Linked DNA regions of Ovis aries. The protein of the gene in region 7 interacts with the protein of the main gene of each other region in a biochemical or structural test. Links are inferred from orthologs where the notes say so. Each region holds a gene or a part of one and is shown on either strand. Other genes may lie near its edges. The genes, in order: UBE2M, RHOB, UBE2D3, UBE2D1, PLEKHO1, PDLIM7 and SMURF1.

Region 1 (3,997 bases), on a different chromosome or scaffold from region 7:
ACCACCCCGCATGGAGCGCTGCACATTCTGCTCAAACAGCCTCCGGTTGTTCTGCAGGACCTCGGCGGCTTCCTTGTTCAGTGGGTCTTCAGGGTTGGGCTCCTGTGGCCGGTATGGGAGGGGCAGGAGGTCAACAAGCCCAGAAGTCAGAGGGCCAACCTCCCCCAGCTGCCCTCCCACCCCCACCCCTACTCACCAAGAAGAGATACTGCAAGCCATAAATTATGGAGTTTATCGTAAGGACTGGCTTCCAGTCCTCTCTGTGGGCAGAGAGCATCATGATAGGGGCTGGTGAGCGGGCAGCCACCACAGGCCCTGCTGGGACCAGACAGGTCAGGCCCAGGGCATGGGACAGCACGATCGGGAAATGCTAGCGGGAGGGTGCAGAGAAGCACAGGCCAGAAAGCCAAGGTCAAGCCATGAGGAAGAAAACGCAGAGCTGAAGAGACAGAGGGACACACAGACCACAAGGGGAAGGGAAGGGAAAGAGACTGGTATAGTGCAAGGTCATGAAGGGGGCCTGGCAGGCAGGGCTGGGCAGCGTAGTGGAGGGCCAGTGCCCTCACCTGAGGATGTTGAGGCAGACGTTGCCCTCGAGGTCAATGTTGGGGTGATAAACCATCGTCTCACACTTCACCTTGGGGGGGTCATGCGGGTAACCCTGGCCCACCTGGCTCCAGGAGAAGAGAGGGCAAGTGGATAGGTGCACAGCAGTGCCTGGCTGGGGCCTCAGCTGTTGCTTCCTCAGCCCAGGGAGCCACCCCTGCACACCTGAGACTCACCTTAAAACTGAACACAAACTTCCCGCTCTTGTAGAAGCCCTGTGAAGGAAGAGGAGAGGAGTCAGAACCCCACTCTGCAAGGCCCGGCAGGTGAACCAGCCAACTTGAGGTGGTGTCACCTGCCGTGCCTGAGAATCCAGTTAAGCGTGCCCTCACCTCATCAGGACAGATAACCAGCTTGAAGTTGAGGAGGTCGTCTGGATCTGAGAAACTGATGTCACACGTCTTGGGCAGATTCAGCTCGTTTATGTCTGGGTTTTCACAGCAGAGAAGGGAAACAGGCCAGGAAAGGGGGAGATAGGGGGTGCTCAGAGCAGGTGCCAGCAGAGCCTCCATAACCTCTACCCAGGACCCCAGTTCTGTCCTGGGCAGTGGGCCACCCCCTCCTCCCTCTCCCTGCTCCTTCTGCTCCGCGTCTCCAGGCAGGCTCTTCCGTATCTATGGAACACTGCAGATATGCTGGAACTCCTGGGGGGCAAGCTCTAACTCTTCTGAATCCAGTCGTAAGTCCCCCAGCCCAGCTCCTACATGTTCCCACTCCTGTGTGTCCCACCCCAAATCCAGCATCCTGACCGCGACCTCCGCTTTCTAGAGGAGTCTCTACTTGTCTGCGCAGATGCAAGGATCTTATTTCCCTTCCTCACCCTAAATCACCACCCCCCCCAGTCCCTGGCCCCCACTGTCCATACACTCCTCTCTGCTTGTCGTCCTAAACTCAGGATCCCATCTGACCTCCAGATCTGTGAGTTCCCAAGCCTCCTACCCTATACTATTCTGAGCATAAGAGTTCCAGCATCTCTAGCAGGATGGTCTAAACCCAACCCTACTCCTATCTCTATAATCCCTGGTACCCAGCATCCCTCCCTCCTCCTGTCACCCCAAACTGACATGTGACTCACCCAGACCCACGACACCCAGGCCCCAGAACCCACTTCACCAGGTCTGACTCTGATTCCCAGTGACTCTAGCGTTAATACACTAAATCTCCCACCCCGATCCTCAATCCTCGGCCCCACTGTCCCTATCTCCTCTTCCTGTCGCCCAGGTTCCCATCTGACCCCCCGACTCTCGAGTTCCCGGTCTCCCTCTTCCGCTGCCACCCTCAGATTCTCGGTCCCTAGTATCAGACTCCTAGCTTTCCGAACACGCTCAGTGCCCCCTGCTCGGCCCCCCTACCTCCGACCACTTTGGTGATTATATTACCCCATCCCCGGCCCCTCGGCCCCCAGGCCCTGGTCTCCGATCCCCACATCCGCGGCCTCCCCGTTTCTGACACCTTTGACCCCTGGCAGCCGCATTACTCCACACCTGACTCCCGTATCACCCGGAGCCAGGCTCTGACCTCCGACCTCCACTCCCATCCCCCGACTCCCCTTACCCTTCTGGATCCGCAGCTGCGCCGCCGACGCCTTCTTGCTGCTGCCCTTGGTGCCGCCCGCCGACTCCTCCTCCTTCTTCTGCTGCTTCAGCGAGAACAGCTTGATCATCCTGCCGCCGCCGCCGCTGCCGCCGCTGCGGGGCCCGGGACCCCGGCCACCCGGCCCCCCGCCGCCGCCCGCGCCGCCTCCGCCACTCGGACCCGCCGCCGCGGCCTCTCCGGCTGCTGCCGCCGCCCGCCGGGCCTGCCGCGCTGCTCCGCGCCCACCGCGCGGCCCGCGTCGGCTCCCGTAGTCGGCTCTGGCCTGGCCCGGCGCCTCGGGCCCGCTCGGCGGCGTTCGGGCCCGCTCGGCTGTTCTCGGGCTTACTCGGCCCCGCCCCCACCCGCCGCTCCCTCCTCCCGGCCGTCCGCTCCGGCGTCCTCAGGCTCGGCTGCGGACGCGGGGTCCTCAAGCCGTGTCCCTGGGCCTGGTCACTCGCTCTCTTCGCGAGGGCTCTGCGGCTCGAGGCGGAAGGGGGAGGCGGGGGCTGCGATGGCCGTGCACTAGACAGGAGGGCCGGCTTCCGTGGCAGCAGCGGCTTCGGCGCGGAGGTCCGCAACGGCCTCGGGCGCCCCACCGCTTCGGCTATTTCCGTCGCCTGCCCGCTTCGGCTCTTCCCGCCCGGCCTGCGCTGTGCGCTTGCGCAGCCGCTGCCACCGCCCCACGTTGCTCCGCGCTGGGACTTGGGGATCGGGCTCCTTCGGCTTGGTTCGGGTATTTCCGTTCGTGCGGGCCGGGCCGGTCACTTCCGGGGACGCCCGCGAGTCCAGGGAGGAGGGGGATGGCGGTGTCGCCGCCATATTTAAGTGGGGCAGATGCAGGCCGCCTCACTTGCGGGCCGCCATGCCCACTCGCAGTTGTGCGGACGGCGGCATAGACGGGCCAAACAAGGGGCTTGACCCCAGGGGCCACAGACGGAGGCAGGGTTAGAGTCAGAGCCTGAGCAAGGCCAGGAGCGTGGCCTAGAGTGCATGACTCAGAACCTTCGGGGTCCCATCTCAGGCTCAGAGAACCCGCCTGCAGAGTTTGGTTGAGGTAAACTAGCAAATAAAACGTGTCAGAGGATAGTATAACACTGTGGAGGTTTACACGGGCTCACACGCTTGGGGGCAGCCCTCCGCACGGGTCTAGAGTTTGCCCGCAGGCGACCCCCGGCCTTCCGCCATCTCCGTCCGCGAGGTGGGCGGAGCCAGCCTCCCCTCCAATCACAGCTCAGCGTGCGTTGGAAGGCGCGAGCAGGCGGCGCGGAGCGGTTCTGCGACTTCAGGCTGTCACCGAGGACTCCGTCAGGCGGTGAGCGGCGCCACGAGGGCTGGTCGGGGCGGGGGGCCGGGCCCGGGGGGCGGCCGGGGCTCTGCCCCTGAGCCTTCCCGCGACCGAATGAGGCTCCTGCCGCACGACCCACCCCGTCGCTGAGGCGGCGTGCCGCCGTCTTCTGGAGCACAGTGGGAGTAGTCCGGCGGCCCAGTTGGGCCCGCGCTAGTGGTGGGCCATGGCCTCCTCTTGGCTACCCCGGCCCGATCCTCACCCCAGAAAGTAACCTCCACCTTTTCGGGCCGTGATTTGGCGTCCCTGCCGACCCCAGCCTCCTCTCGGGTACCCTCGGCGTCCTTGGGCTCCGTGGTCTCATATCCTAGTCGTGGCTGTTGCAGCCGTTCCCTTTTTCTCCCGCTTGCATTCTCTTTCCTCCATTCCAGAAGCCCCCCTTCAACCCTCTGGTCGTCCTCGCCCCAGACTGCCGGCTTCGTTGATTTCCTTGAGAGCTGTGTGCTGGAGAGGTGCTGGGGTGAGGCTAAG
Region 2 (3,963 bases), on a different chromosome or scaffold from region 7:
CCCTCAAACACACACACTAATTTGTCCTGTTCTAGCCTGCAAGTTTCTCAGCCCACCCATCCGGGCTTCAGCCTATTCTTGCCTAATGGGGTGTGGGGTGGTTGGATTTTATTGCACTACTTACTTCAGATAAACCAGGATCCAAATTAATCCTGCAAGCCAGGACTGAGGCTGCCCTTTTCTGTCTGGTTACTTCCTGAGTGTACCTGAAGTTCTGCAATCAGCCTCGACCTTCCCTTTTCACTGACCCTCTTTCCCTGAACCTTCACCTGGAGACCTTAGGCTGGGTGCCCGAGAAAGCGGTAAAGAGACTGGCTTGTTAAAGCCGGAAACCGGAACCAGGCCCACCCATAAGGCACCCTCTAGCAGATCCAAACACGGCCCAGGGAAAGAACCCTCGTGGAAGCATGGTGGCAGGCTCGACAAGGGGAGGGGCTGCTTCTAAAAGAAAAAAGAAAAAGAAAAAACAACAACAACAAACCACAACCTTGATTGGAAATAAGCCTGTGTGCGTGTGTGTCTGCGTGTCTGTGCATTTAAAAACAAAACCACGTTAAAGGAGCCGCTCCCTACCCTACAGGTCCGACCACCCGCTGGGAGTTTGCGAAGCAAGCAGGGCAATACGAGTGGGAGAGACTCATTCACGCGCCCACAAAGTGCCTCCTGTCTCGGAACCGCTCGCCCAGGCCCCGCGGGCTGCTCCGGGCAGCCGTCTTCAGCCCTTCGGTCCCGCGCGCAGAAAGAGCGAACCTTGACGCAGCCAGAGACCCGCAGCTCCCGCCGCGGCGGCAAACTCCCCAGTCGCCGCCTCTCCCAGCCCCGCGGCCTGGGCAGTCAATCAAGCCCGCCCGGCCCCTCCCGTGGGCTGCAGGGGACGGCCAATCAAAGCCAAGCTCCGCAGCGATGAGCTCAGTCGGCTTGCTTCCCATTGGACGGCTATATTAAGAAAGTCGCCGAACTCTTTAAATAGCGGGCGCTAGGGCCGCAGCCTGCATCTGCCGCCGCAGTCGGGCTGAGTTCGTGTTCTCTCTTGTGTTTTCGCCTAGGCCTAGGGAGATCCAGGAGGGAGCTAGGCCGCATCCGCTTGCTCTGGCCACCGTTTGCTCACAAAGGCGCCGACCCGAGACCAGGGGCGAGGAGAGCGGCCGCCGCTCGGGAGCAGCGCGGAGACGCACCGTGCGCCCTATGCCCCCGAGTCCCCCACCGCCCCCGCCGCGGCAGTCCGAGCACTACGAGGGAACGCGCGCCATCCCGGGACCTGGGTGCAGCTAGCGACCCTTGTCCCCAGCGCGCAGCCCGAGGTGAGCAGTGAGCGGCGAGCGGGACGGCAGCGAGGCGTTCGCGGGGCCCCTCCTGCTGCCCGGGCCCGGCCCGCTTATGGCGGCCATCCGCAAGAAGCTGGTGGTGGTGGGCGACGGCGCGTGCGGCAAGACGTGCCTGCTGATTGTGTTCAGTAAGGACGAGTTCCCCGAGGTGTACGTGCCCACAGTCTTCGAGAACTATGTGGCCGACATCGAGGTGGACGGCAAGCAGGTGGAGCTGGCGCTGTGGGACACGGCGGGGCAGGAGGACTACGACCGCCTGCGGCCGCTCTCCTACCCGGACACCGACGTGATCCTCATGTGCTTTTCGGTGGACAGCCCGGATTCGCTGGAGAACATCCCCGAGAAGTGGGTGCCCGAGGTGAAGCACTTCTGCCCCAACGTGCCCATCATCCTCGTGGCCAACAAGAAAGACCTGCGCAGCGATGAGCACGTCCGCACAGAGCTGGCCCGCATGAAGCAGGAACCGGTGCGCACGGATGACGGCCGCGCTATGGCCGTGCGCATCCAAGCCTACGACTACCTCGAGTGCTCGGCCAAGACCAAGGAGGGCGTCCGAGAGGTCTTCGAGACGGCCACGCGCGCCGCGCTGCAGAAGCGCTACGGCTCCCAGAACGGCTGCATCAACTGCTGCAAGGTGCTATGAGGGCCGCGCCCGACCCGCCTGCCCCTGCCAGCGCGGCTCCCCATCCCGGGCCCGTCCCCCACGAGCCCGGAGAAGGGGAGAACCTTGCCCCCCCCAAAGACCCCCACCGGACTGCCTGGCGTCTGCTTTCAGCCCCGGCAGCCGTGGCCTGGAGACTCAGGCTCTGGCACCCGAGAATCGGCCGCGTGGTAGGCACCCGGCGCCCCCTTTCCAAGTGTCTGTGCGTCCGGCTGTGTGGCACAGGCTTGGCCACCCCACTGAGTGCCAAGGGTCCCCTGAACACCATTTTCTGAAGAGCGAAGCCTCTTCAGGGTGTGTGGCTGTGTGTATGTTCGACTCCCCGCTGCCGAGTTTTCACCCCACGCCAGCCCCTGCTCCCCGGACATGAGCTTGGCGCCGGGATGCGGCCGCGCCCCATCGGATGTGCGTCTGTAACCAGTGAGCGCCTGCTATGCCCTGTCTGTAACATAGACCTCGGGACCTGCGGGAGGGGAGGGCTGGGGAGGATGGGGTGTTATATAAATATAGATATAATTTTATTTTCGGAGGTAGGATGGTGTTATTTAATGGTGGTGGTGGGTGGAGTGACAGGGCGCTAGAACAGCTCCAGCCGGGTCTGAGTGAGGCGTCATCCCAGCACGAACAAGACTTGGCCATGTTTCCTACCCCTGGGGAAGACATTTGCAGCTGACTTGGGGCCTGAGAGGACACAGCTTCCAGACTCCTGTCTCCTGCCAGCCAGCCCCCCCACCCCCCACCCCCCGGCGAACCCCTCACTAGCCATTGAGAAGGAGGGGTGAAGTGTGCTGCAGGTTGTTTTTGCCATAAGCGAACTTTGTGCCTGTCCTGCAAGTGAAAATTGTTCAGTCCAAGAAACTGATGTTATTTGATTTATTTAAAGGCTTAAACTTGTTTTTTTTCTTCTTTTTGGAACGAATTCTTTGCACAATTGTTTCATTGTTTGACATTTAATGCACTTGTCATTTGCATAAGACAGTAGCATTCTGACCACACTTGTACGCTGTAACCTCATCTACTTCTGATGTTTTTTTAAAAAATGATGACTTTTAAAAAACAAGGAGAAGAAAAAGAAACCACTAATTTTTTTCTTTTGAAAAAAGTGGCAACACTGTTCTATTTTGCGATTTTATTTGTGCACGTATGCGCACTCTTTTGATAAAGGGCAGTAACCAGTATTAGGGCCTATCTAAAACCTTTTGTTGTTGGTTTTTTTTTCCCTCAAGGCAGTCTCTAAAGCTGTGTGAAATTTTCTCTGCATCTCTGTACAGAGAATAAACCTCCCTCTTGTGTCTCTTTTCTCCCCCTCCCTTCCCCCATCCAGTGGTACTTCTACTAAATTGTCTTGTTTTTTTATTTTTTAAATAAACTGACAAATGACAAAGTGGTGAGCTTATGATGTTTACATAAAAGTTCTATAAGCTGTGTATACAGTTTTTTATGTAAAATATTAAAAAAACTATGATGATGACATTTATAAAATGGCTCCTGTGGTTTAATGATGTGTAAAAATCTTGTGAATTTGAGGGCAAGGGGAGAACTCGGCTAGGTGAGGCTCCACTAACTCTATTTCCCTCCAAGTGTTTGTAGGAAATGGGGATGAAATCTCTGAGGATGTGAGGGGATTGGGTGGCCAAGGATGACCAGGTTGCTCCTGCCCCAGGGCCAGAGGTTACCCAGGCTCCCAGTGCCACAACCTTTGACCTAATGTGAACTGTCTGAATGGCTTATACACTGTGTCTAAGTCTATTTTGTAGCCTGTGCATCCTATTCTTTGAAACTTGGAAAGTTGTCATTTGTGCATTCAGATAACTTTTTGTTAATCACTGTCTCAAAGACTGGTTCCTGGGTTCCCTTCAGATCTTCAGGGGTTACACAGTGTCCCCCCTGAGATTGTAGGATGTTATCTCTGACCTGAGCTCCTGGGTAGAAGTCGGGGAGAGCCCAAATCAGAAGCCAATCCTTCTGCTGTGGAAC
Region 3 (3,500 bases), on a different chromosome or scaffold from region 7:
ATACTTCTGAGTCCATTCCCGAGATATTCTGTTGTACCTGTAAATAAAAAAGATGTTATTTAAAAATTTAAAATAATTCTTAATACTTAAAAGGTAAGGAAAGAGTATTTTACTTCTAGACTTATCATGGAGTCATCTTCAATGGCTACAATTAGGATAAAGTCAACAAGGAAGAAAAAGCACTGGTACTCAAAGCACTGTAGGAAACAAGACCATTATGCTTCAATACAGTGTCCTAATCAAAGTAATACTTTCATAAACATACGGATAGGCTAGCAAAAATCAAAGACCTTTTTTCTCTCCTACTACTGACCTAATGGTCTATTAGAAATTTTACAATTAGTATACATTCCAACAAAGGTTAACCTTTTTTTACAATTTGCCATGGACCTATTATCAGAATAGTGCACTTATCTGTAGATCTATAGAAACTCCCATGAAAGCCAGACTGAGCATTTTTATCTGAATCCTGGACTTCATGATAATTTACTTCACCCTGGATATTACCTAAAAGAAAATGCCTTTGAGACTTCAGCACAGGTAGATTAAGACACTGGGGAAGATGATAAAAAAGCAGTAATTTTCAAGAGGAGGTGGGCTGTGAGTTATATGTGCTAATCAAAATCACCTGTTACTTTTAAAGGGTAGTGACTGGCAATTAACAAACCCCACCGAGACCTGATGGATGAAACTAGTAAGGAGTACAAGTGGGGGCATCTTTGTTTAAAATGATCAACAGGTAATTCATACACAAGCAAGGATATTTACTACTGAGGAAGATCACTAATATTGATAAAACGCTATCAATTTCTCCCTGTATTACTACCATGTCATAGACTACTTACCAGAACAAAAATTATAGTGATAACCTTAAGAAAGGAATATCTAAAAGGACATAGGAGAACTGATTTATATTTACAGTTTGACCTCTATAAAAATATTAACTTCATTTCAAACCAAGAACTAAACATAGTTCAACCGTTTTTCTAACTTTAAGTTCTTTCTCTACCAATTCGTGGTTACCTCATTCAAGGATACCTCTCAGAAAGCCAGCACTTTAAAACAAAGGTTTCATTTAGCATACAGGTAGCCACAAAGTATAGCTGACACTAATGCATGCTTGTCAGTAATGAACATTTAGTACAGATAGTGAGGCTTAAAAAAGTGTTTATCCCTTACATTATTATCTCTTGGCAAAATTTTAACTAAGTCACCACATTCCATATAGTATTGAAGTTTAAAATATACCAATTTTAAAAGTTAAAATTTAAATTCTATAGTAATTTGAAAAAGATACTAAAATTTTCATTTCTTACTGGTGCTATATAAACTCTGTTTTGCCATGCAAAAATACTCTCAAGCAATAATGACTGCTGGGTATACTTTCACGCTAAACAAGAGATCAAGCAGTTAAGTGTACAGTTTTCAGAAACTGCCACATCAGTTACCTTTGTTAGTTAATACAGTGCCTTAACGCATGCAGCACTCATGTGCTGGCAGTACCATGAATAAGCGCACCATATTGTGCAGATCCTCTTACCCTACAACATAGCGTATTTCTCTGTCCACTCTCTTGCTAACCTATTGTACCTAATTGAACAAGTATACTGAGCGTTAATTATAACATAAGGAAATTATAATGGTAAAGTTGTACATAAAGAATTCAATATATAAAATATTTAGACCAAATTTTTACAACAGTACCAATATTTTTCTCTTGTTTTAAATGTGATTGGGGTCAAGAAAAAATACCTTTCTTCCTCAAACTTAAAAGTGACAAACTGCTGAACATGTTAGAAAAAGAAAACATAACCTAGTAAATTAAAAAACAACAACAACAAAAAGCCAATCACATTTAAGTAACTAGCTTCTGCACATTTCAACTACCATCTTACCGGAAATAAGCATCAAGTCTCCTTGGCATCATGCCACAACTTACAGCAAAGTATATAATACTAACTCATTAAGAAAAGCCACTTTTTATGTTGTTTTCTCAAATTACTACATACTTACTTATCTCTGTCTGTTTTATAGATCCGTGCAATCTCTGGCACTAGGGGGTCATCTGGGTTTGGATCACATAGCAGTGAACAAATGGATAAAAGAACTGGAAGAAAACAAATGTCTGTTACCCACAACTGGGAATTTGGTTGAATAAAAGTATTTAAAAACAAGTATTATAATATAAACCTCAATCCTCAAAAGAGGATTAGTTTCTATCTTAATTTCCATAAGACAAAGCTTTACAGAGATTTTGATTCATACAAGACAAGCTCCTGGTAGTTAAGAGATCCTAAAAATAGGTATTTGTTAGCTAGTTTACTGACTAGATACAAAAATCTGCCAAATTCAGAAGTTCTGAGATAGTGAAATGCTACTGTATTAATTTATATTACTTTTTCTTTTGCTATGCCACGTTGAATGCGGGAACTCCTGACCAGGGACCGAACCTGTATCCTCTACAGTGAAGTGTGGAGTCCTAACCACTGGACCACCAAGGACTTCTCTCTATGAACCTTCTGAAATAGTCAAGTGGAGTTTCTTGGTAATGGCTGGAGGGAGGTGGGGGTGGGGACTTTGAATAAGAGTACAGCTATGCAATATATGCTTAGCTGTTTAGCTTGATAAAATAATCCATTTTCTGTCCTACTCTCGGGGGAGTTTCACAAAAACACCCAACTGCCCCAATGACTACAGGTTTTATCTCCCAGAATTTATAAGGTAGAGACCATATCCAAGAATTCTGGTTAAATTAAAAAAAAAAAAAAAAAAAACAAAACAACCCACCAAGATCTACTACTGAGTAGTTCTTCAGCTACAGCTCTCACACTGACCTATTCAAAACATTAACTTAAAAGATGTAAAGCATCATTAGGAATATGTATCTAATTCATTGTGAATACGAATTATGTGCCACTGTGCAAAGTTTTATAAAAAGTTTACGACATAAAAGCTTAATGTGGTTATGACAATCCTTGAAGATAATAGCAATACCATGAAAAAAAAATACATTATCATAGAAAATAGAACTTTAAACTCAAGTGCAGGATCAGAAATAAAACTAAATCTGCATTTACAGAAACAGTGTTCAGTATTGCAGTGCATTCCCAATGATGGTAAAACCAAACAAACCTGGAAAATAGTATTAAAGTCTTCTTCATACCAGGTGCCTGGTGTTAAGAGAAAAGAAAAGACCTGAAAAGAAACTTGAATGTATCCAGGGGGGTAAAAAATGGGCCTAAAACAATGCTGCACCTAAAAGAACGACAGCAGCATTTACCCAAATTGTCCCCACTCCCCACACAAAAGTGTTTCTGATTAATCAAAAACAATTCTGGGAATGCTAGACAGTCCCTTCAGAGAGATTCAAATGCACTGTACAAGGACACAAAAGGCTTGATGTCCTGACTTAACAAACGAATGAACAAACAAAACCTGTTTCACTTTGCATTTACCACACTTCTAAATATAAAACTTCTTGTAAAACACTACTAACTATT
Region 4 (4,172 bases), on a different chromosome or scaffold from region 7:
GAAAAACTGTGAAGTCATGACCTTTTTAAAACACGCCAAATCACTTCTTAAGAGATTAACTTGGACAAAGCACTCCACTCGAAACCTCAAGCTCCTTCTCTGAACAACAGTGAGTAGACTAGAATGTCAGTCAGTGGTTCATGACCTTTCTTCCACAGCAGCCCATCTGAGGGACTCACCAGCATCTCTCCATTTACAGCAATGGTTCATTCAGTTCAGTGGCTCAATCGTGTCCAACTCTTTGCGACCCCATGGACTACAGCAGTGGGGATGGTCTGAAATGTCCCATGGTTGATTCTGATGTACTACCCTAGAAGCTGTTCCCCTGCCTTTCACTCTTGAAAGTACTTTAAGGTTCTGCACAGTTCCAAAGCCTGCCACTGTAGGCCCAGGAAAATCGCAACCCAATGACCTTATCTGACAGTGTTACTTTAATACATTTTAAAAGAGAGGCCAAAAGTTAATAACATGGATTCTTTTGTTGAAGCACGGAAGATTCAAAAAGAATTTATATACTGATGATATCAAAGAGGGCTCTGTAACTTAACTGTTCACATGGCAAACAGCATACCTCCCCTGGAATTCACTTCTCATCAAGAAGGTAGTAAAGAAAGAGAAAATGTGGGGAATCAAACAAAATACTTCCTAAAGTTGAGAGTGGTCTGAACAAGTGATCAATGGAAAAGAGATCTGTACAAATCACTTTTTTTTGGTAACAGAGAAGGGGAGCCAAAGATTGACACACAGAGATGGGATGCTATGTCATATCCAATTTTTTTTTTTTTTAACCAGACAACTCTGTTATAAACTAATAACTAATAATGACTAAAAATATGATTTGGGTATATGCCATATTATAAATACAAGCCAAAGACATTGGCTCAGCAAGGAGACTGATACATTGCCCAGGACACTTAACAGTGTCCATTTTCTGTGAATGTTCACTTACTGTCGACAAATTTTACACTATTTGAAGCTACTATACATGTAGTCTTGCAAAAAACTCTTACAACTAGGGAAGAAGGAAATGGAATTTTAAGACTTCCTTGGAAAATGTGTGTTTACCTCAAATGTGAGCCAACATTACATCATCATTTAAAAGTACACAAGGCATGGCAAAGATGCTGAGTGGGGTTTCAAAATTAGAATCATGTATATGAAAAAAAGTGTGTAACTGCATTATCTTCAAATCAGAAAACATAGTAATCAACACATGCTGATTTTAGCTATGTGCTTTACCGTGAGAGTAACCTTAACAGGCACAAAAAATAACAGTATTTCTCAGATCTCGGATCATTTGACCCCTCCCCATCACCACCACCACCAAATTGGCTGGGTCAGAAAGTTGCTGTCCTCTGTACCAGAAGATGACATCAATGGTAACTGAGAATACAATGTATACTTCCCTATCACTGCCTTATTGATTCGTGCCAGAAGAAGTTGATAAAAATTTTTTTTGGTAGTATTTCTTCTGAAATCCTTTAGAAAACATGCTGTCCATCTCTGGCTTAACTTGCTGAACGCATTTCTCATTAAAAAAACAAATTCTCAATGTTCTCCACATGAACCATAACAGTAAAGCCTAAAGCTTGTGAAAGGGAACAGACTAAATAACCCAACAAGAAACAAAAGTGAACAGAAAGAAAACGCCCCAATCTCAGGTCTGTAACATGTTCACATTAGAGACGGTAGCAAAAAGCATTCATGAGAAAACAATTCCTTACACTGAGTTGGGACGGAAACATATTTGTTTAATGTATATAAACATTTCTTCCTCATTCTATACCCATGTGTCAAAGCATGGAACTATCTAATTTGTGACAGTTTCTGTTGTGTCTCAAACTTTACATATAAGTTTATCATGGCGAGAAAAAAAAAAAAAATTGCTTGGCTTGACTCACCATGAATCACAGCCAGGAGGTCATCTTGTTGTGTATCAGCAACTATGTTTTCACTACAGCTATGTGACCTCAAGTGGCAGCAGCAGAGGCACCAAAATAGAAGGGGCAGGAGGCTTCTCCTGGTTTCTCGGTCCCAAATGGGCTTTTCCAGCCCATTCGGGCATCTGAGCAAGAGCCAACCGCAGAGGAGAGAAAGAACAAACCCAACAGCTCCGCGGAGGAAGGTTGCAGGCCCACCACACCTTCCATGCCCTCCCGGGAGCAGGGGAAGGCAAAATCATAAAAGAGGACAGGTTTCAGAAACAGCATGAAGAAAGCAGCATGACAAGGGCCAAAGCTAGCCGGGTGTAAGGCAAAATCCAGTGACCCAGCGGCACATAGGTCTGGAGGTCTGGAGACAGAAGCAGCTCTCCTGCCAGGGATCCCCAGGCGCAGCTCCGGCGTGAGAGCACATCGGGCCCCCTGCCTCCAAGCACCTCCAGCACCCGGGACCTGTCGCTGCTCCCACCTCACCTGTCGGGTGCCCGCTGGCCCGCCGGCGTCTCTGGCCCCCGGTCCCCGCCCTAGCCCATCTTCCCTGCACGCTCCCTCCCGGCGCGTCTCTCGGGACCACCACTGGGGTCAGCGTGCGCGGCGAGCCGAAGCCCGCCCCGCTGCCCCAGGCCCGGCCCCGGCACTCACTTTCTGAATCCGCTTCAGCGCCATCGGTCAGGGAGGGCGGCTGGGACACTGGCCGGCGGGGGACGGCTGCAGGGCTCGGGGGCGTGGGGTAGTGCGGGCTCGGATCGCCGGCTGTTCGGCTGGCTCAGCCGGGTGGGTTCCCGGGTCGCTGCTGTCTGGCTAGCTCTGGGCGCGGGTGCCTGCTCTGAGTGAGCCCGAGCGCTAGTGTGCGAGTGTGCGGGCGGGGACGCCGGCGACACTCTTTTGTTTCCGCTTTTGCTTCTGGGAAGGAATCTGCGGCCGCCCGGCCCCGCCCCCTCCCGCCAAGCGTACTGGGAAATGCAGTTCCTGCATCCTACTCGGCCGCTGCCCGGTTCGGAGACCTTCACCCACTGCCAGGTCTGGGTTAGTCTCTGCAGATGGATTTCGATCAAGTAACTGAAACTGGAGTTCCCAACCTGTAAAATGAGAATAACAAATTAGCTCGAAAAACATGTACCGGATTCTAATGTGTGCTACATCTTGTAATTTTTTTTTCATCTTCCCTTTTTCTGTTACCAAATCCTCTTATCAAGAGTTAGAGTGCCCTAGAGTTCCAATCTCAGACCTCTCGCCATTAATATCTTCCTAGACGACAGACCTAGTGTCCTCCCGTAAACTGGAAGGCCACCCAACATAGCCGGAGAAGCGTGGGGTTTGTGGACTGACCCCTCTCTTGGGATGGAATCCAAGCTCTGATCCCTATCCACTGTATGACCTTGTAGCACTTAAATTCTCTAAGCCTCAGTTTCTGCGTGTCCAAAGAAAAATAATCTCCATATATTATTGTAAGAATTAACTGATATTAATATGATGTGCCAAACACACTACCTAATATGTTGAAAATGCTCTATAAAAATTATTTCCTTGTTTTTATGTATATGATAATGATTTTAAGATCTCTCTTTCCAGCCAAACTCTCACCGCAGTTTCAGCATTTCATGTCCAAAAACTTCCTGGACATGTCCAGCCTTCTTCCCTGTGGCCAGGAATCAGATTGTGTTACAAGGCGAGGGTTGGAAGAAAGCTTTCCTGGAAACCCTAAACAATAGCCACCATACCATTCTAAATGCTTACAAAGAGCAAGGAACAAAAATCCACTCAGGTAACTTAAAAGAAAATGTTCAGGGAAATAAGATAGTGAAAGAATGATAGAAATATTAATAGAATCTGAAATTTAATTTAGAAGCCTCTCATTCTACCTTCTCACCACCCTCTACATCGAAAATAAACATAAAAACTAAAACCAGTCTGGAGTCTGACTACTCTCTTATTTTCCTTTTCCTGAGATCTTGGTTCTCTCTGCATGCTGGCCCACCCTCATTTTTCCAGCTCCCCCTTAACTTCTCTTGTACAGGGTATGAGCTCCCACCATCCTTACTCCACTTTCTGACACTCTTCAAGCTACTGTTTCTGCTGCTAAATGGCCAAGCCTTTTGGTACTCCCTATTTATCTCCCTAAAGGGAAGAATCCCATTGACACAATTCATCTTTTTACTTCAGGCTATACATTTTCAGTTAGTGAGCAAAGAATAGATTGACTACTCTTGGATTAGTTTGCCAACCATGGTC
Region 5 (4,180 bases), on a different chromosome or scaffold from region 7:
CATTCTTTCCCCTATCTCAGTACCCCTTCCTCCACAAATAAGGGTCCATCACACTCTTTCATCCCCAGACTGTTTTTTAGATTGGTACAAATAAGAAAAAAAAATGTCTTGTTCCTTCTACCCTTTCCCTGATCTCATGTTTTCCCCACTGACGTGTGGGAAGTTCTCGCCGATTGCTCACTAGAGTTTCCTGCCATTATGAAGTTCAGGGAAGGCAGGAGATACACTTGGACATTTGCTTTAAAAAAGAAAAAAAAAAAACAAACCACAAACCTAGAAAGTCAGCAAATTGTGGGGGGGAAAAAAAAAACCTTGGGTAGGATTTAGGGTTGGGTAGAGGTGACCCTTAAAGATAAATTCTCCTGTCAAAGTGTTTTCTCACCTCATTCCAACACCAAGTTCTCAGCTTAGTGTAAACAGCAAGGTTTAAATACCCTTAAGAGGGATCTCTTTGGCCCTGGCATAGCTTAGTTCTTTCTTAGCTGCTTCGGTAGATGTTCTGTTCAAGATGAATACTTTCTCCAGGACTGCCTGTGTGTCTTGTTTCAATACCATAAAAGGATTTATTTACCTAAATATAGTCTAAGCAGAAAGCAGAAGAGGTTAGAACTCAGGGAGGACTTCCCAATTAGCCCCTGGTGAGGGAACTCAAACTCACCAGGCAGGGGAGGGCCATCCTACCAGGGGAACTCAGGACAGTCTCCTAGGCAATGCTGACATAGTCACAGAGATAGGTACTGGAATGACTTCTAACCCATGGAGGGGCAATTTTAGTTTCTCCACATTCCTATGTGTTATTGAGCCCAAGAATTAGGGATAAAACAGAGAAGAGTTTGGATTCAATATGTGGGCTCAGGTTCTGACCCAACGTGGACTATTTTCATTGTAACTATAGACCCAAAGACACAGAGACATGCAGGGGTTCAAAACTCCACTCTCCCTTCTGTTATAATTGGCCGGGGGTGTTGGGTAGGAAGGAATGGAGAATGAGTTCCTCGCTTCTTTGTTTTTAAGTGGAGTGGGGGTGGGGAACAGAGAACATGTTAATTAAGGACACTGGCTTCAAGAGAAATAACTGCCACTTACAAATACTCTACCTGAGGTCATGTGAGACTGCCTCTGGATTGTAAGTGTGTCTTCTGTGATTTGGAGCAGCTGTACTGCTGATATGACTTGCGTATGTCTCTGTGAGAGACAGGAAAGGGGAGGCTAGCTGGGCTGGGGGGCAGGAAGGAGGGAAGAATAAGCTGAACAGGGTGTTTCAGCAGCAACAGCAAAGAAAAAAGAATCCTACAGTCAGCTCGAGGCCAGGATAGGGGAGAGTAGGGGACACTTAAAGAGTTTTGGGGACATCTTGGGAGGGAGTTATCATGCTTATCAGAAAGGTATTTTCAAAGGAAAATCTTTAAGTAAGATGCAACTTCTAATTCTAATTCGGGTCTTCTCACTGAAGGGCGACCTTTCTCTGCAGGTAAGATGGGGGTAGAGCCAACCGGACTGCTGAACTCGCTTTCGGAACAAAATCAGGAGTGCGGTAAGGGGGAGACGAGAAGTACATATAAGACCCCTTCGGAAAGACCAGGTCAGGACTATGAGAAAACTGGGTAGTTCGCGGCAAGGGCACCTACCTCCTTTTCAGAGATGTAGAGCTGGTCCCCTTTCAGCACCACGTAGCGGTTTTTCCAAATCTCCCTGAAAATCCCTTTCCCGCAGAATTTCCGGACCCAGCCGACCTTCTCAGGCGGTGCACACTGATGGTTTCCATCCTGAGGCCCCTGCCCCCGCGAGCCAGATGAGAATCGCACGGTTAGGTGGTTCCAGCTTTTTCCTCCTCGCGTTCCGTCCTCGGCGCCCTCCCGAGTCCCCGGTCCCCTCCCCGCGTCCGCCCCGCCGCAGCTGGAGTCGGGGAGCCCCGCGTTTGCTCCCCACTTCTTCAAACCCTTTCACTCCAAGGAACTCGCATCCCTATCGCTCCCCTCCCCCTTCTTCCAAATAAACAACTGGAATTGCCCGTGCCAGGGGTGAGGGCCGGGCTGGAGACGAGGGGTGGCCTTCGGGGCTCCGCCGGGCCCCCCGCCCCCTCCCCCAGCTCCCCTCCACGCCGCGCCGGGGTTTACGGCATTTTATTTCTCATTGTCTTCTCGCCGCTGCAGAGCTTGGTGCCAGCGGCCGCCCGCCGCCCGGGGAAGGCGAGGCCGGGGGTCGGGGCAGAAACTCAGCCAAGTTAGCCCCCGGCCCAAGTAAACAAACAAAAGCCCCCGCGGTACCTCGTCGCGGGCCCGGCGCACCGAGGCCGAAGCTAAGGGACCGGCGACCGGGCCGGGCTGGAAGCAGGGGGCTGGCGCGGCGTGTCCCCGGCCCCCAAGCCGGCCGCCCGCGGCTCCGACGGGGCCGGGGTCCTCGGGGCACAAAGTCAGCGGCGGCCACGGGGCGGGCGGACGTACTCACCCTCTTGGTGGAATTGTTCTTCTTCATCATTCCGGGCTGCCGGGCGGGCGCCGAGGGGCGGCCCCGCGTCGGGGGCCGAGGCCGCTTCGAGGGGGCTCCTGCCCACGGGGAGGGTGCGCAGAGGCCCCCGGCGCCGCCGCCGCTCCTCCCTCCCTCTCCCGGACTCTCCCCTTCTTTGTAGCTCCGGTTACACTAAAGGCCGGCCTCCCTCGCGCTCGCACACACACGCACGCCTGCTCCCCGCCCCTCGGCGCCCTCCATCCCGGCGCCCACGCGGCCCGGTCCCCCGAGCGCGCCCCCGCCGCCCGCCAGCCCGGCCCGGCCCGGCCGCTCCCCCGGCCCGGCGCGATGTGGGCGGCCCAGCCCGCGCCCCGCAGCTCCATCCACCCGCCCGCTGACGTTGCGAGTTCAGAATAAAGGGCGAATCGCCGAGCCGGAGAGAGTGCGCTCCCCCCACACCCTCCTTTGTTTCTGACTCACTGAGGGTGAAGAAGACAGACCTACACCCCGCCGGGGAACGGCGTCTGGGGCGGCGGGGGCACCCAGACTCGCACTGACGGCCGGAGCGAGAGGTGGAGCCTGAGACGACCGCCCGGGCCGACCTGCCGAGAGAGCCGGCAGGGGCCGATGCGGCGGGTGATGGAGACACAGGCAGGTTCATAAAGACCGGCGATAACCTAGATTGAGATCGTCTCCCTCCCAACCCCCAAACAAAAACAAGAGCGTGAGCTGGGAGGGCGTGTTACCCAGGACTGGCATCCGGAATTCACACGCCCTAGGTGGTGGAGTAGTGGTCTGGGCAGGTCAACTGTTGGGGAAAAGTTTTATGCTTCGGAGGGTACCGATGTGTAGGGGCTCCCCGCGGAAGAGAACTCAATACACATTTCTTCCAGTTTACAAATTATTAGGCCTTATTTGAGCCTCGGGAGAATAACCTTATGTATGAGGTAGATATTATGACCTCCGTTGCATAGAGAGAAAAGTGAGTACAGAATTTGCAGACACATTTTAAGTGCTGGAAGGAATAGAATTCTTGTCTCCAAAGCTCTGATCTGTTAGACCTAGTGGCTTTAAATATAAGCACCAGGTCGTGAATCTGAGTGAACTCCGGGAGTTGGTGATGGACAGGGAGGCCTGGCGTGCTGCGATTCATGGGGTCGCAAAGAGTCGGACACGACTGAGCGACTGACTGAACCGAACCGAAGGCTTAAACATCCTGCTATCTGGTGTCTCTCCCTAATGCACTGACATGTAAAAATTCCACCCTGTCTACCACAGTGCCCAGAGGAGGCCCTGGCTGGAGGAAACTGCTGATCACTCCTAAGCCAAATCTGCCTCGGAGCCCACACACCAACATCTTGGTGACTTCCTTTTTCCCCTCAGTACACATTTAATGGGAAGAGGAGAGAGGGAACCTACTTTGGGTACTGGTTTCATCACTGCTCTGTGGCCTTTGGTCGAGTCGCCGAATTTCTTTGGGCCTCAGTTCCTCTGTAGGAACTGACTGCCAGTTCCACCAACAAGAAAGACAGGGGAAAACATGAGATGACCCATGAAAGTCCTTTCAAAATACAGTATTGCCCTCTAGGGCTAATTACTAAATAATAATGAGCTAACGAACACACTGCCTGGCATATGGCAGGCACACAGAAACTTCCAAATGAATAAAAATCCCTGGCACAGAGGAGTAGAGGAGAACCTCTTTTTCAGAGATGTCTCAAGATTAAAAAAA
Region 6 (4,109 bases), on a different chromosome or scaffold from region 7:
GGGGCTGGACACCACACGGAGTAGGGGGTGAGTCAGCCTGAGGGCTCCACTGAGCAGCCCAACCCCCAAGTCCCAGACGTTACCTCATCTCCCAGGCCTGGGCCTCCAGCCAGCCCTAGCCCCTCCCTCTCCTCCTCCATGCTAGGGTCAGGAGAGAGGGAGGGGGCCCAGCCCAGCTCCGAAAAGACCACCCTCACTCCCACCCACCAGGGCCTAGGTCCAACTCCAGGGCTGGGCTCAGCCAGTGGCCCCACCCACATGCTGGGGCTGCTGACAACAGAGCCCAAGCTCAGAGTGCCCCCAACAGGCCACATCTGAAAGTCCATCCCTTAGGCTGCTTTGTTGCCCATCCCCACCAATGAATAAACTGAGGCTCAGAGGTCAGCCAAGCTCCCAGCCACACTGACCAGCACTTTCTCAGGAAGTGGAGTATAGGATGAGTTCCCAGAGATGGCAAGGCTTGAGTATTATGTATGGGCTGGGTGTAAGTAGTAGGGAGATCAGTGCCCTTAGCTACCTTGCTGGCAGAGCAGCTTCCAGGAAACCCCGTGGAAGGGTCCCTTGGAACAGTGACTGCTTGCAGGTCCTGGCCACCAAGCCCAACTACAACAGACTCTACCTTGGGGCCCCCTCAAGCTGGGATCTCTAGACCCCTCCAGGCTAAGCCTGCCCTGGGCTTCATGCCAACAGCTGCCCACCAGGAGCCTGGGTGTGCCTCTCTGGTCAAGGGGATATGGGGACAGAAATCCCCGCCCACTCCTGACCCCCAGACTACAGTCAAGAGACACCAACCCAAGGGCTGGCCTCACCCTCTCAGGGCAGGCACTTTGTTCTCCGAGTCCCACAACTGATCCCACAGTTGTAGCCACAGCCTGATGATCGGCTGAGGGGCCCACTGATGGGGTTCAGGGTTCCAGGCCTAGGCCAGCCTTCTTTAGTTCTGCAGACTCCAGCCACCAGTTGACTATCCCAGCATGGGGCTGCATTCTTGGGCTTATAAGGCAATCCCCCTGCCACAGGGAGGAGCCAGCCTCCAGCTCCACCCCCACCAGGACAGGCTCTCAGGAGTTGAAGTCAGAGCCCTAGATACCCAAACACCACTGCATCCTGAATGGAACCAGTGAATGGGATAAAAGTCCTCACCTGGGCTGGGGAGAAGCAGAAGCACCTTATCCACCCACAAAAACTGCAGGCCATCCCTGTGTTTGAAGCCCCATGCCTGCTTTGCCATGGAACTGATGAAAGAGTTCCTTCAATGAGTCTTGAGTTATCTCATCTGAATAAACAGGGTGGTAGTTGCTATTCCTTAGGTGGCAATGAGGATGAAGTGAGCTCCTGCAGTCAGAGTGCCCTCCCAGGGGCCTAGCACCAAACATTGCTCCTCAAGCAGTTTATAGATACTTCTTGGAGACCGCAGGTTCACCTCCTGAAGAATGGGCACACTCCTGAGCCTAGAAGGTGCAGTGTAGAGCTGTGGAAGTCTGAGGGCTGCTCCCTTCCCAGTATCTACCGAGTTGGGAGTCCTTGTGGCAGATGCCCACAGCTCTGGACCTGGACACCTCCTGGTCTGTGACGTCGGCTCATTCCTGCTCAGACTCCTCCTGCCGCCCACTGGAGATCTGAGCACCCAGAGACCCCCAGAGGAACCCTTCCCTCAACCTAGGCTCACCCGGGAGATGGAGAGGGGTACATTGAAGTCCTTGCCCCCCTGCAGCCGGAAGCCCCAAGGTGCTGGCCCCTCCAGCACCACCTTGAAGGAATCCATAGTGCTGCTCCTGAGAGGAGAGAAAAAGTGAGTGATGCACAGTGGGTGCACAGGCAGGCCCTACTCTGGACACCAGCCTTGGACTAGCGCCAGGCAAGCACTGGCAGACGCTGAGCACACCCAGGGGGAGGGTAGGCGGGCACCCTGTTAGGTCGCGCTGGGCTGCTAGCTGGCAGACTCACTTTGGAAAGACAGGGGCAACCCCCCTTCCCCAAAGGACTGGGGCGGGGGGTGAAGGGAGCCCGCATCCACTCATAAGGTTCCTCTCACCCAGGAGTGGACAGCAGGACTACTTTGGCATGACTTCCTTCCCAGCCAGTCTTGAGCCTTGGTCTGGACAGCAATGCCAGTCCAGGGCCGGCACTCCTCTCCCCCGCCCCCAGGTCCCCACAGGCAGGCCTCGGCTGGAGCCTGCTCGGACTATATAAGGCGTGTAAACTGACACTGTTCGGAGAGAACACGGGGGCTTGGGCCGCGAGGGGGAGGGGTGCGGAGGGAGGCGGCTGGAGCGAATCCTAGCCATTCCAAGCCCAGTCGAAGCTACTGAGAGCCAGGGCAGGACCCCTGGGAGCGCTGGGTTCTGGGCGGGGGCGAGGCCCCTGGAGGGAACGGTGGGGGCTGGGACTCCAAAGCACGGTCAGGAAAAAGATTTATCCTGCAGCCCAGTGAGGGTGGTGCCTCCCACACAGGACTGCTACCATCCCAACGTGACTCAGTTTCCCCCTGGGCCTCCGCCTGGGCCCCAAGCACTGGCCGAGTCCCAGGCGCAGGAAGCGGCGCAGGCGCCAATCAGCCCCGCCGCAGCCGGCTTCGCCGCAGGAAGGCGGGGGCGGGGGTAGGGGCGACGGCCCATCGGAGGAACTGCAGAGCTGGCTACGACCCCCAGCCCCCTCTGTGGTCCCCATTAGGCCTCTGCCCCCCGCCTGGTCCGGCCCGAGATGCCCCGCGCTGTCCCAAGTACCTCCTGGGCCCCACCGGGGCGCTGCTCCGCGGCGGGCTCCAAAGAGCCGCGCTGGGATCCGCCGCCCGAGTTCTGACCCCGCCCCCGCGGCTGCCATCCGCTTTGAGCCCGCGTAGGGGGGCGGAGCCAGATGCCCCGCCCCCTCCAAAAGTCGCGGTCGCCCGGGCAGTGGGAAGCCCTACCCAATCCTTCCGCCCCACCCAATCATCAGGTCCCATCTAGCTTTGGGCTCTAAGACACAGCCCTCCTTGGTCCCGTCGGTGGGGCGGGGCCTGGACGGAGTCTGGGCGGGGTCTCGGCTGCTGGACACCTAGTCTGGGAGCCTAACCCTCCGCTTTCCTGGCCCTTTGCGCCTCCAGCTGGCTGAGTGAAAAGAAAGTCTACTTGGGAACCAGACAGATCTGGATCTGAGTCGTCTGTGAACCTTAGTTTCCAACTCAGAAAAATGGGACAATACTACTCGCTTCACAGGGCCGTCGTGAAGACAGGCACAGTTCGCCGTAAGGTACAGCCATCGGAGGCTCCAGAATTTCTAAATAGGACGGATTTGGTGGAGAGTTGGTGGTGGTGGGGGGGACCTCGAGGTGGGCTTAGTTGAGGAGGACACGGGGGAGCATGAAGTTGTTTGCAGAACATTCCACCGAAGGCAGAAAATGACAGTCGACACAGGTGTAGGGACCCTTGGCTCTGGCCCCAATCGTTACTCATTCCTGACCTGTTCCTACCACCGACCCCTCGCAGTCAGCGGCCAGCAGCCCAGCCACCCCACCTAAGTGCTGACTGTCTTGATGAGGTATGTCCTGCTACCCGCTCCAGAACCGGCAGCGCCTCCATTGAGGGTGTCAGAGTCCCCAGTTTGACCCAGTGCTCAGCCCAGGCGGCTAGCTCAGGCAGCGGGGGAAAGTGAGCAGGGATCCAGGTTTGCGAGTGAGTGAACAGATGTCCACGCCTCAGGGGATGGCCAATGCTGTTCTCCCCTCTCCACTATTATCATATTTCATCCTCTTCTGCATCAGTCCCTTCACTACATAAACTGATGTAAGAGTTCTCATCTTTAAATAAATTTTCTCTTGATCTCACAACACTTTTCAGCAATCTCTCTCTTATTCTTCTATTTTCCCTGAGGGTAAAATTCCTTGGAGTTGTCTATTACCCTTCCTCCCCGTTTTTCCTCCCATTCTCTCCTGAACTCATTCAGTCAAGCTCTTGTCCCCACCAGTCCTCTGAATTAATTCCCTCTTCAAAAGGTCTCTAATGATTTCCAGGTTATTCAATCAATGGTGATTTCTCAGCTTTCCTCTTTCCTTACCTAGAAACAGCTCTGGTCAGGGTATACTCCCTCTTCCCCGTGGCTTCATCCTGTCCCACTGACTGCTTCTTCTC
Region 7 (3,500 bases):
AGAATCCGTTTTTCCAACATATCTGAAACCAAAGTGCAAATTCATCTTTAATTGCATTTCTATACTACAACAGCCCATTGATTCTATCTGACTGACTTGTTAGTCCAGGAGAATTCTCTGAAAATAATGTTGGCTCTATATGTACAACTACAGGCCCTCGATGAATATCTGTCTACCAACTTCAATCGGTGGCAAAAGGGCTACAGCTGATTATTTGAGCAGCACATGGAGATAACTACATGCTGATGATAACCTTGTAACAGGGATTTACTAGATCTTAATAGTTCCAAAGATAATGGCAGGATTCATAAGCTCCCACCAATTAGGCTGCATAGAGAATAGCCAGTCTGCAACAAAGGACTCCTTACAAACCCTCCATCCACCCAAAGCACACGCAAGAGCAGAGCTTGGACAGGAGACCCCCGCCTCTCAGGGCAGGTCAGCCACAAGGGGGCTTCCAGGACTTGGACTGACAACCGCTTTCCAGACCACTCCTGTGCCACAGTGTAACTGAAAATGGGCCTCAGGATCCAGCTACTAAAAACCCGCTCAAAACCAGCACAGTCTGTGGTGTGGCGGTAAAACAAAGCAGTAATCATTCAGCGTTACCTGACAAAAATTTCTCAGCAAGGACATGAAAACAGAGGTGAAGATAAAATAGTGATTTTCAAAGGGCAATCCAGGTAATGGTTGGATACAAGAAGTTGTCAGATGGCGAGTGGGCTTATATATAGTCACTCATACCAAACTTTCTTTGCTCTTGCAAAAAATATGAGTGTGTTAGTTGTTCAGTCGTGTCCGACTTTTTGTGACCCCATGGACTGTAGTCAGCCAGACTCCTCTGCCCATGGAATTCTTCAGGCAAGAATACTGGAGTGGGTAGCCATTCCCTTCTCCAGAGAATGTTCCTGAGCCAGGGATCAAACCTGGGTCTCCTACATTGCAGGCAGATTCTTTACCATCTAAGCAAAATTTTTAAAATCAGCATATATATGTATGTGCGTGTGTGTGTATAAAATATTCGTATAATATGTGGAGAAGGAAATGGAAACCCACTCCGGTATTGTTGCCTAGGAAATCCCATGGACAGAGGAGCCTGGCAGGCTACATCCATGGGGTCCAGACATGACTTGGAGACTAAACAACAAGAACAACATAATAAATATGTATAATAATGCATTTCAAATGATGCGTTTTACAACTATGCTCATGGTTTTGCTGAAAAAACAGTAGCATATAGAGGACCTGAACTATAGCCCCTTTTTCCTGTTAGAGAGGGCCAGGAGATTGAATGTTTGAAGATCACAGTTACAGAAGCAAACCATGAACAATCTATGGAAACAAATGCAAGAACTCCCAAGTGTATGAATTCCAAAAGTAGGCACTGGGTCTCCGGCCATTCACGTGTGTTACCAGAAAGAAGCTGGTGATCCCTTTCTCAAAAAAAATGCTTCTCTTACAAGCTAGACCCAGCCTCTCCTCTCACTCCCAAGTGCCTTGTAGGATATCCGACTCACAGATCGTAGTGCTGGTTCCACTTTGGGTCCAATGTGCTCTTCACAGTGTCCGTTGAGTGGCACTGCCCAGATCCGTCCACAACAATCTTTGCAAAAGGGTCAGGGAGCCCTGGAGGAGAGGGGACAGCCACACTGGATGAGATGACAGGTCTGTCAATGCGACACAGAACATGGTCCCGCAGGTAAAGGGCGCGTCAAGACCACCCAACTATCCTGGTGTTTTTCATTCTCAAATTTAAGGTCAGTTTCGATCAGCAAAATAAGTTACTTCCATTAAGCTTTCTAAGAAAAGCAGCCCAGAATGACATCCTCCTCAGATTTTTAGACACTAGTAATGAAACTCTAAAAACAGGCTTAAATTCAGATTTCTATTTCTGAAGATCACTGCTAGTTGAATGGAGGAAAAAGTGTCTACAAATAAATGTATTTGTACTTTCTAAAAAATAATACTTAGACATTGTGTTTGCTGGTCTTTGTCTATTTTATCTCTGGAAGCAGTATTCACCAAATTTTCATTAGGTAGGTTCTTAAATGCTGGAGTGTGAATCAGACAGGTTTATAAGATCAGAGAGGTGGCCAGGTCTGAGAGACAGACCTGGATGGGATCCATCCCTCTGCACCTTCTTAGCTCCTTGAATAAAGCCCGTGAACCTCAGTTTCTTCACCTGAGAGTGTGAATAACACACCACTTAGGAACCAAGCAGCATTCTGGTGAGGATCAGAAAGAGTGTGAAAATTTTCCTGCTCCGGGCACCTACTTTATAGTAGGTGAGCTTCTTAAGAGGCGATTCCTTTCATAAGAAAATGACTCTCTATTTATTATTTTTATTTTTACAATTCCTTTCATTACACGACTTTTAAAGTGTGATTTAATTTATCAAATTTGACTATCAGTTTTACTGAAACTCAGATGCTTTATAGAAAAATGTCTCATCTGTATTTGAGTAGAGAACACTTCAGCAGAAAGCGATATATTAATGGATGGAAAGGCAGAGAAAACGGTGTGGCCAGAATAGGGAATGAGAGAGAGTTTTTCTTGATTGAGTTATAAATTCTGTGCCTTGGAGCTAAGGAGCCTCTGTGCCGTAGTCAACTGGGAAATGAAGTTTGTCAAACCATGGGCTTCTATTCTTTTCTTTTAGGAGAATACACCCAGTGTTTTTTGAAAAAGTTTTAAATTTCAGAAATATGTGAAGAATATCAATAGTGAAAGAGCAAAAGTGCGTGTTTACTTACTGAAGAAGTCTTTCTTTGCAAGGTTCTTGGCACATAATACTGAAAACAAACAAACAAAAAAGGCAAGAGTTAGCACTTACGGACAAGATTTTCACCATAGTCAGTCGCTATGGACAGAACTGTATCCCACCCAAAACTCGTATGTTGGAGGTCCAGGCCCTGATGTGAAGGTATCCACAGGTGGGGCCCTTGGGAAGTGCTTGGGGTTAGCTGGGGTCATGGGGGTGGGGGCTGTCAGGATGGGGGGTCCCTGTCTCTATGAAGAAGGGCTCATAGCACACGCCCTCACTCGGCTCTCCATGTGAGGATGCACGAGGTGGCCATCTACAAGGCAGCAAGAGGACCCTGGCCCAGAACCAAATCTAGCCCCTCCTCATCTTAGGCTTTTCCAGCCTCCTATGGGAAATAAATGTTTGCTGTGTAAACCACCAGCCGATGGGATTTTGCTAGTGGCCCAAACTGGCTGAGGCGCTAGCCTATATTTGCAACGGGGAAGAAAAAAAAAAAACCTCAAAATTATCTTTGCCATTGATTGTATCTCAAATTAAGTGTTACATTAAACAAAAAACTGACAAGTAACTAGAAAATGTGTTCTCCTTCAGTTAGAAATCAACTGTAACAAATGCAAAATGGTTTAAACTTAAAAATCTTTCTTAAACATACATGGGTGGATTTATCAATGTGTTCTTAAAACTGCCAGAATCACATTGACACCAGTTGAAATGAAGACCTAGAGTCTGTATCTTC

What was found.
Region 1: the proteins of SMURF1 (region 7) and UBE2M form a complex in vitro, tested with the Homo sapiens proteins (2 studies listed by BioGRID). The link is inferred for Ovis aries from reciprocal best matches to the Homo sapiens genes SMURF1 and UBE2M.
Region 2: the proteins of SMURF1 (region 7) and RHOB form a complex in vitro, tested with the Homo sapiens proteins (2 studies listed by BioGRID and IntAct, with this or other methods). The link is inferred for Ovis aries from reciprocal best matches to the Homo sapiens genes SMURF1 and RHOB.
Region 3: the proteins of SMURF1 (region 7) and UBE2D3 form a complex in vitro, tested with the Homo sapiens proteins (15 studies listed by BioGRID, with this or other methods). The link is inferred for Ovis aries from reciprocal best matches to the Homo sapiens genes SMURF1 and UBE2D3.
Region 4: the proteins of SMURF1 (region 7) and UBE2D1 form a complex in vitro, tested with the Homo sapiens proteins (3 studies listed by BioGRID, with this or other methods). The link is inferred for Ovis aries from reciprocal best matches to the Homo sapiens genes SMURF1 and UBE2D1.
Region 5: the proteins of SMURF1 (region 7) and PLEKHO1 form a complex in vitro, tested with the Homo sapiens proteins (4 studies listed by BioGRID and IntAct). The link is inferred for Ovis aries from reciprocal best matches to the Homo sapiens genes SMURF1 and PLEKHO1.
Region 6: the proteins of SMURF1 (region 7) and PDLIM7 are reported together in a solved structure, tested with the Homo sapiens proteins (2 studies listed by BioGRID, with this or other methods). The link is inferred for Ovis aries from reciprocal best matches to the Homo sapiens genes SMURF1 and PDLIM7.

The regions. Positions count from the first base shown.
Region 1 is NC_056067.1:66,428,870-66,432,866, forward strand, and holds the start of UBE2M (NEDD8-conjugating enzyme Ubc12), read right to left. Parts: upstream 2,801-3,997; 5' UTR 2,270-2,800; coding exon 2,161-2,269; intron 1,034-2,160; coding exon 939-1,033; intron 822-938; coding exon 783-821; intron 671-782; coding exon 567-670; intron 316-566; coding exon of another isoform or gene 261-315; coding exon 197-260; intron 103-196; coding exon 1-102.
Region 2 is NC_056056.1:28,325,886-28,329,848, forward strand, and holds RHOB (rho-related GTP-binding protein RhoB), read left to right. Parts: upstream 1-1,334; 5' UTR 1,335-1,377; coding exon 1,378-1,968; 3' UTR 1,969-3,463; downstream 3,464-3,963. UniProt on the Homo sapiens protein: Mediates apoptosis in neoplastically transformed cells after DNA damage. Not essential for development but affects cell adhesion and growth factor signaling in transformed cells. Plays a negative role in tumorigenesis as deletion causes tumor formation.
Region 3 is NC_056059.1:22,376,607-22,380,106, reverse strand, and holds part of UBE2D3 (ubiquitin-conjugating enzyme E2 D3), read right to left. Parts: intron 3,171-3,500; coding exon of another isoform or gene 3,133-3,170; intron 2,108-3,132; coding exon 2,014-2,107; intron 1,591-2,013; coding exon 1,542-1,590; 3' UTR 1,541-1,541; exon of another isoform or gene 38-1,540; coding exon of another isoform or gene 1-37. UniProt on the Homo sapiens protein: Accepts ubiquitin from the E1 complex and catalyzes its covalent attachment to other proteins. In vitro catalyzes 'Lys-11'-, as well as 'Lys-48'-linked polyubiquitination.
Region 4 is NC_056075.1:305,094-309,265, forward strand, and holds the start of UBE2D1 (ubiquitin-conjugating enzyme E2 D1), read right to left. Parts: upstream 2,801-4,172; 5' UTR 2,607-2,800; coding exon 2,583-2,606; intron 1-2,582.
Region 5 is NC_056054.1:100,234,125-100,238,304, reverse strand, and holds the start of PLEKHO1 (pleckstrin homology domain-containing family O member 1), read right to left. Parts: upstream 2,801-4,180; 5' UTR 2,479-2,800; coding exon 2,449-2,478; intron 1,776-2,448; coding exon 1,629-1,775; intron 1-1,628. UniProt on the Homo sapiens protein: Plays a role in the regulation of the actin cytoskeleton through its interactions with actin capping protein (CP).
Region 6 is NC_056058.1:36,698,515-36,702,623, forward strand, and holds the start of PDLIM7 (PDZ and LIM domain protein 7), read right to left. Parts: upstream 2,801-4,109; 5' UTR 2,727-2,800; intron 1,776-2,726; 5' UTR 1,766-1,775; coding exon 1,670-1,765; intron 1-1,669. UniProt on the Homo sapiens protein: May function as a scaffold on which the coordinated assembly of proteins can occur. May play a role as an adapter that, via its PDZ domain, localizes LIM-binding proteins to actin filaments of both skeletal muscle and nonmuscle tissues.
Region 7 is NC_056077.1:37,670,086-37,673,585, reverse strand, and holds part of SMURF1 (E3 ubiquitin-protein ligase SMURF1), read right to left. Parts: intron 2,793-3,500; coding exon 2,754-2,792; intron 1,627-2,753; coding exon 1,518-1,626; intron 23-1,517; coding exon 1-22. UniProt on the Homo sapiens protein: E3 ubiquitin-protein ligase that acts as a negative regulator of BMP signaling pathway. Mediates ubiquitination and degradation of SMAD1 and SMAD5, 2 receptor-regulated SMADs specific for the BMP pathway.